Ovis aries: one gene and its partner. The protein of the gene in region 2 binds, or shares a complex with, the protein of the main gene of each other region. Links are inferred from orthologs where the notes say so. Each region holds a gene or a part of one and is shown on either strand. Other genes may lie near its edges.

Region 1 (4,113 bases), on a different chromosome or scaffold from region 2:
TACTTCTGGGATGCCACATTCTACAAAGTCATTTTAGTTTCTAATAAATGTTTCTGGCTTTATGATTGTCACTACCATGAAACACATTACCATCACCCTTTCCTTGAGTTACTGGTAAATATTCCTTGAATAAAATGATTTGGAAGACTTGTCCCTAATTTAAACTTTCATCTGAAATTCCTTGGCAGTCCAGTGGTCAGGACTCTGCTTTCAACTGCTGAAGGCTCGGGTTCAGTCCTAGGCTGGGGAAACAAGTTCCTACAGACTGTGTGATGTGCCCCCGCTAAAAAAAGTAAAACCAAAAATCGCCCCCAAATTTACATCTGCCAAGTGATGGACATATCTGGTGGCTTCTCAACTTTAGGAGAATAACCTCAGTGCCTCCCCCACCCCCCATCCCCGGAAACACAACTGAATCAGATCAAGACAGTTACCAGGAGCAATCCTTTATATTATCCAGTTGCATAGCACACTCCTTGAATAAATGACATACCCTAATTTAGGATACATCACCAGATTCAAGTCAGAGAGTATCCTCTGCCAGTCAATATGAGTACGGGTCACTGGAAGATCTCTTCGTAGAATTCTTCTCAGAGCTTCATTCGATAACTCCTGTAGTTCTTCCAACACTGCAGCTTGAAATTTATTCTCTTGCTCTTCCACAAGCCTTGCGAAACTTAGGGCCAGCTGAGCTTGGTTCACTACCTCCAAGCTTTCTTTCAGGTCCTTCGAGATTTCGACATGTAGGTTGACACACCTGAAGTAGTGAGCTTGCACAAAAATTCTCCCTGTTACCTGGGTTAGAAATGGATTGACTTGGAAAATCCATTTTGATTTCCAAAGCCCATTCCAGTAGTCTGTTGTTTCATAGCTGTGGTCTTCGATGCAGGCGATCAAGAACTCCTTATTTTTCACTGTTTTTCTCAGCACGTTGCAGTTTCCCTTTGGGTAGTGGTCGTTCACATAGAGCTTCAAGGCGCACAGAACTACAGCCCTCAGGTACTCCGTCTCATTCCAAATGATTCCATGACTCTGGATGTCCTTTAACTGGTTTTGAAGCAGATCAAATTTGAAAGAAAGTTTGCTCTGGTAGTCGAAAAACCTGTAGTCGCCCACAACATTGTGGTGAGACAGGAGGACAGCATTCCCATCGATGCTGAGTGGGACAGAATATTTTTGGCAGTGTTGGTGGCCCGCACACTCCCCTTGATGGTGCATGAGTTTTTCATCACGGATAAGCAGACAGAGATCATCAAAGGCATTTACAAATTCCCCTGGAGGAGCCTGTATCAGTAGTCTGCGAATTACTTTTTCTTTCTCTTTCCTACTCAGAGTGCTACGTGACATGTTTGGTTGTGGCAGAAGCAGAGCTTCTGGAATGAACAGTGTTCAGAGGATGAGAGAACATTCCATGGGGCGCCTTTCCCATCCAGGTGTTAAACATTCAAGCTTAAGATTACCATGTCTGACCATGCCAAAAACAGGTTGTCTGGCCAGCTCTGAGTCTCCTGATGAAGTCATAGAGGAGCTTGCTCTGTGAAGTATGGAACTTTTGATGAGATCACAATGGGTGTTTGGACCCAAAGGAAAACATGACAGTCACCTGACAGCGTGGTGCCCAGCCAACCAGCGATACGAATTTTGAAGATTTTTTAAGAACTTAGCCTCCAGAACAGCCTTCTTCATAAAGTGGTGTGTTTATTCCATAGGTGGTCGTAGATCTATGATAAGCAACCCAGAGTTTCTAGGGAGTATTTGGAAGCTCTTTGACCCTTTGGGGACCACAATGGCAGTGATTTGCAATCAGGCCGTCAGAATAACTGTCCAAACCCAGTGGAAGCATGTTATCCTGAAAGGTTTGAGGGGTTTAAACAAAATAGTAAAAATAAAATGAGAGACGATGGCTGTTCATGGGAAAATGCCAGACGGCAAGGGTTGCCTCTCTTATAAACATTGTGGGTTTGGAAATGGTCAGAACATAAGCAAGAAGCCAGAAAAATTTTAAGGGCAGTGAAGTACAGAGACCACAAACCTCCATACAGTCTCTGGGGGATTTAAGTGTTGCGCTAACTGCAAAGAACAAAGGCAACAAACCACTGTGTTTTCTGCTTTCTTTCTAGAAAAGGGGCAGTGGTAACAGCGGATGAGTTTCAAGGAATCCCTTTCTTGCCAATGGGCGGAGTTAATTATATTTGGAACCTGTGACAACTCATAATGGGGAGAAGCTTCTAAGTGAGGAGAAACGAAACTTCAGGTCATGAAAATATGGAGAACAAATATCCACTCAGAAGTCCTTTCTGTTCCTCTTTCCTTTCTCTTGACTTATCCCCCTTTGAAGACTCCTGAGCTTGTTTCTCCCATTTGAGTGTAAACTGCTTCCTCCTTTTTGCATCCTGAGTTTTTTTTTTTTTTTAATTTCCCTAGCTTCCTGTATCTTTTTCTTGTAACATGAGCTTTGCCATATTAAGTCACAGCCATTAAATTGAAGGGCTTCCCATTAGTTCTAACAATTTGAAATTGAGTGTATTGTTGAACAATTTTTACCGGTACTTTTCATGATTTTATAGACTGTCATATTAATCCTTCTCAATCTTATTTTTTTTCAATTTGAAGTGTCCTAAATTTTGTTGTTTCTCTGTAGATGAAGCAAGCTTGATTATTTTTGTTTTCTCCTTCATACTAATTAGACACTCACCATGGCATTAGAAAAAAAAAACAACAACAAAAAAACCCCCTCTTTCTGATGGTCCTTAAAATGTTGCTTTTGGAGGCATGTGAGTAGCTGGACATTTGGCTAGTATAATGGTAATAATCATATCAGACATGGTTATTATTTATTGAAATCTCAGTAACAGAAACTATGTTGAATGATATATTATGAGCTCATTTAATGCCCCTACCTTCCTAAAGTATTAATTTGACCACTTTTCAGATGAGGAAACTAATCTTGAGAGAGATCATGTGATAGAAAGATCTTGGTGTTCATGTCTTCAGAAAATAGATTGTATTTCCCAAGTAATAGCTATATTTCTCAAATGTTAATTTTTATTCTCTTCCTATAATTCTTATTTTATTAAGTCCTTTCATACCTTTAGCACTAAATAGTACCTACTTAATTTTGTTTTAAATATTATTTATCATAAAATTATTTTCTCACTTAGGCATGAGATAGACTATCTTCTGAAAAGAAAAACATTGAAGAGAGACAAAATATTCTTAGTCATTTTAAGTACTTAATGACTTTCTGTGAGAATTTCCTTAACTTCTTTTTTTGGTGTGTCTCCTACATGGTTTTTGTTGATGGTTCGAGATGACTTCAAAGGTGGAAAAATTACCCTAGAAAAAGCTCTGAAACTACTTGAAAAATTAGGTATTCAGTGCAATACTATTCATGTGAAATATATTTTTAAGGTGAGATAATATCCGTCCCCTGCATATCCCACCCTAGGAAGGACTTCATCCAATATAAGGAAATGTGGATAGCTACTTGTATGTTTTCTGCAGAAAATACATGTGAAAGATTAGTCTCTTAGAAATTAAAGCAATTAATTATGTTAGATATATTCATAATCAAAATGGAAAGCATTTAGGTAAGAGGAAATTTTATCAAGAGTTGTTGATAAAATTTGAAATAATACCAAGTTATCTGCTTAGAACAATCTGCTGAGAATGCATAGATGTTCACAACAGATTAAGATTTGTCATCTGATTAGTTCAAATCATATAAATGATGAAATGGTAACTGAATTAGATGTTAGTGATTTATAGAAGGCATGGGCAATCTTGAGAAAAATCATATTTTACTCATCTTCAAGGAATTATACCGTAAGTTCCCCTGAAGAAGGGAAAGGCTACCAACTCTAGTATTTTGGCCTGGAGACTCCACTATATAGTCCATGGGGTTGCAAAGAGTCAGACATAACTGAGTGACTTTTCACTTCCCTTTGTTTTAAGAAGAATTAGTAGGAAGGGAACCTGGCTCAATTCTGTCACTAGAGGATGAATGGAAAGATCATGAAAAAAAGAAAAAGCTGTGTGTTAGAGCTGAGTTTTTTTTTTTTTTAACTAGGAAGATGGCAAATTTCTTGGTGAATCAGGCAAGAATACTAGACT
Region 2 (3,511 bases):
ACGACTGGGTTTCTGTGAACACGGTGAGTTTTGGAAACCACTTCAGGATGGGGCCTGGTCACCAGGGGCACCAATCACAAATGGAGGGGTGGGACTTTAGTCCCTCTCCTGGTTTCCAGGCAGTCGGGGGAGAAGGGCTGGAGGTCAAATCAATCACCCGTGAGTTAATCACGCCTTTGTCAGGGAGTCTCTGTGTGTGTGTGAGCTGCTCAGTCGTATCAGACTCTTTGTGACGCCATGGACTGCAGCCCTCAGGCTCCTCTGTCCGTGGAAGTCTCCTGGCAAGAATACTGGCGTGGATTGTCATTTCCTTCTCTAGGATCTTCCCGACCCAGGGATCAAACCCTGGTCTCCCGCATTGCAGGCAGATTCTTTACCGTCTGAGTCACCAGGGAAGCCCAAGGAAGTCTCCGTGAAACCCCACAAAAGATGGGAATCAGAGAGCTTCCAGGCTGAGAAACCAACTGACTTCCAGGTGCCACCATGCAGGGCCCCAAAACTCCATCAGGACAGCAGGCCTTGCTTCAGACCTCACCGTGTGGATCTCTTCATCTGGCTGTTGATCTGAAATGTTTAAGAGTCTGCTGCAATAAACCTGCAGGCTAATCAGTAAACGGGTTTTTCTGGGTTCGGTGAGCAGCTCTAATAAATTAATGGACCCCAAGGAAGGGTCGTGGGAACCTCTGATGTGTAGCCAGTAGCTCAGAAGCGCAGGTGTGTCTCGGGGGGGCGGGCAGGCTGCCGTTTGGGACTGAGCCCAGGATGCGCAGCCTGGCACTGTCTCCAGGTAGAGTGATGTGCAGGACACTCTCCTGGGGTCGCACAATGGTTGTTGGTGGCATGGGGCGTCACCCCCACCCCTGCCAAGATGGCACTGGGTGTGGAACCCAGAAAAGTAGCGTCTGTCAAATGTTAATGGGCACGTAAATTACTTGGAGACTTTTATGAAATGGGGGTCTCAATTTGGTAGGTCAGGGCGGGGCCCTCGCTCTCTGGATCTGTGACCAGCTCTGCGGTCCACGGCGCTGATGCAGGGCCCTCCTACACTGGACTGCGGGCAGAAAGGTGCCACCGAGCTGCAGAGGACGAGCCTCTGGGCGAGCCTGCCTGCCCCGCCAGGCTTGCAGGGCCACAGCGACAGGGAACAGAGCAGAGCAAGGCTTCTCGCAACATCCAAGGAGCCTGAGGTGCAGGGACGCGCTGAGTCCTGAGGATGAGGAGGGTGAGGCCAAGCCTGCAGCCACCTGGTCCCAGCACGGCCGGGAGCCGGCTGGGAAACGGCAGGCGGCATTCAGCCACAGGTAGCTCAAACAGCATCTGTGTGGAAATGTGAAGTCTGCTTAGGTGGTGAATGAGAACCGAACCAGCTCACCCTAAAGACCAGCGCCCCACAACTTCCTCTACGGAAGTCTCTGACAGCCATCCCAGAGAGCTCTGAGCTTGGCTGCGAATGACTACGAAGACAGACTCATTCATCTGAGTTAATGTGTGGGAACAAAGCCGGAAGGAACAACGAACCCAGGGATGATGGGAACCGAGACACAACCTATCTGTCATGGGCAGAAGGGACAGAGTCCAGAACGCGGGTCCACAGGGAAAACCTTGTTTCAAGCAAGATCAACCACACAGAAACAGAACGGGAAATCCCTGGACCGTCAATAGTTCACGGGAAAGAGGCGGGAGCAGGGGCGCCAGCCCAGCCAACCGCACGCCTGCGGGGCGCCCGCCAAGCAGGAGGGGACCCACCCTGGAGAGCAGGTTCTCTCCTGATGCCACTTCCTGCAGAGGCTGACATGAAGGAAGTGGGCTACCCCCAGGGCCGCGCGCCCCGGGGTGCCACCAAGGAGGGCGGCACAGGGTGTCCTGTCGGGTTGGGAGATGCCCTCTGAACTCCTCTAACGTGCAGACGCTGTGCCTCACACAGGCTGTGGACTGCTTTAGCCAGACACGCTCGTTTTTTTTCAGAATGAGATGAACAGACACTCTGAGGTCTGGAGAGTGCCCTGCTTGGGCTTGGAGTGGACGATGCTGCTGACTGTCATTCCCTTGTGACCCCGTGTCCCTGGGGCACTGCTGCGGGTGGGGGGGCCGGAGCGGAGCAGAGAGGAGATGTGACCACGAGGCAGCTGCGGGGGGAGGCTGGTAACTGGTTCGGAGACTGAAGCAGGCTCTCCTCCTCCTTCTGAAGCCCTGCAGCTTCCAGCTCAGCAGCTTCTCTCCTTCTGGGGACTCTGACGGCCACCCCCCAGAGGCCTGGTGCTCAGACCGCCTGGCCGCCAGCACTGCTCACGCTGCCCACACCGACCCCCCGCAAAACTATGAAAAGCTGCCCGGTTTCACTTCAGGAAACTGACTCCCCCTGTTCGTCTAACTCCACCCATGGGTAGTCACGTGACCCCGGCCCCTGGAAGTGATTCTGTTCTGGACAAGCAGCCCGAGCCAGCAGGGAGACGCTCTCCCCCAGGATGGCCAGAGGCCGCCAGGCGCCCCCATGCAGAGATTCGGGGTCCCGCCCACATCACGTGTGTCTTAGACCCCGCTGGGCTGGACGACGACGGGACTGCACAAGTACGTGAGCTGACTTGTTCCCGTTTTTGCTTAAGCTGGTTTTTACTTCTGCCACCTGCGGGCAGAAGTCACAATTAAGAAATGAATCCATTCGAAAATGTAACCATCAGCATGTCCCAAATATCACAGGAGCATCTTACCACAAATACCTTGACCCAAGGGGAAAAAAATCTCCCGTGACTGAGTCTCAGCAATCACCCACAGGCCTGCGGGGGGACCCCATTAGTCACAGAGGCCGCCCCTGGACCCTGTGGGGGCGGCTGCCCACGCATCTCCACACACAGCCAGCGCTGGGGCTGGCCCGGGCACTGCCCACTCACTCTACCTGTCTGGTAAGGCTGCCTCCGAGGTTCATGGTGCCAGAGCCGGATTTGTTGGTTTGCAGCCACAGCATCACCGTGGAGGTCAGCTTGTAGTGGGCGGTGCGACCACTGGACTTCTCCTGCAGGACGAGACAGAGATCAGAACCTCGCGTGTGGCCCTGAGCTGAGCCCCAAGGGGCCCCTGAATTCAGGTCATTAGAGCCTTCCCTTCCTAAGGCCTCACCGTGATGTGACCTTCTAAAGACCCCAAACGGCTTTTAAATTTAGGGCTGAATCTGCAATCGTGTACCCCAGTCCCCCTGGGATCTTTTTCATCCGCGACGACTGCACTCCCGCCTTGCCTCTGTCCACGTGGCCGTAGGCACTTGCAGGAAGCAGCAGGTTCACACATCACAGCACCCCCTCTTCACTCAGCACCCCCAGGGCAGCCGCGGGGGAGCCTCACCTGCACTTCCACCACGTGGATGGAGTCCCAGCAGCCCTTGATCTTCTTTGAGCCATCCCCAGCCTTCTTTATGAGGATCACTCCAGCAAAACCATGATCCAGGTCCCAGAGGTAGACAGATGAGACACCACCTTCAAAATACCTGCAGGAAACAGGCCCACATCTTGTTAAATGT

What was found. The genes of interacting proteins can lie anywhere in the genome.
Region 1: CAPZB (region 2) and CAPZA3 share a complex: the UniProt entries of both Homo sapiens proteins name them as parts of the WASH complex. The link is inferred for Ovis aries from reciprocal best matches to the Homo sapiens genes CAPZB and CAPZA3.

The regions. Positions count from the first base shown.
Region 1 is NC_056056.1:196,880,672-196,884,784, forward strand, and holds CAPZA3 (F-actin-capping protein subunit alpha-3), read right to left. Parts: upstream 2,804-4,113; 5' UTR 1,348-2,803; coding exon 448-1,347; downstream 1-447. Other genes in the region: PLCZ1 (1-phosphatidylinositol 4,5-bisphosphate phosphodiesterase zeta-1), read left to right, coding at 3,301-3,411. UniProt on the Homo sapiens protein: F-actin-capping proteins bind in a Ca(2+)-independent manner to the fast growing ends of actin filaments (barbed end) thereby blocking the exchange of subunits at these ends.
Region 2 is NC_056055.1:247,014,160-247,017,670, reverse strand, and holds part of CAPZB (F-actin-capping protein subunit beta), read right to left. Parts: intron 3,479-3,511; coding exon 3,337-3,478; intron 3,011-3,336; coding exon 2,894-3,010; intron 1-2,893. UniProt on the Homo sapiens protein: F-actin-capping proteins bind in a Ca(2+)-independent manner to the fast growing ends of actin filaments (barbed end) thereby blocking the exchange of subunits at these ends.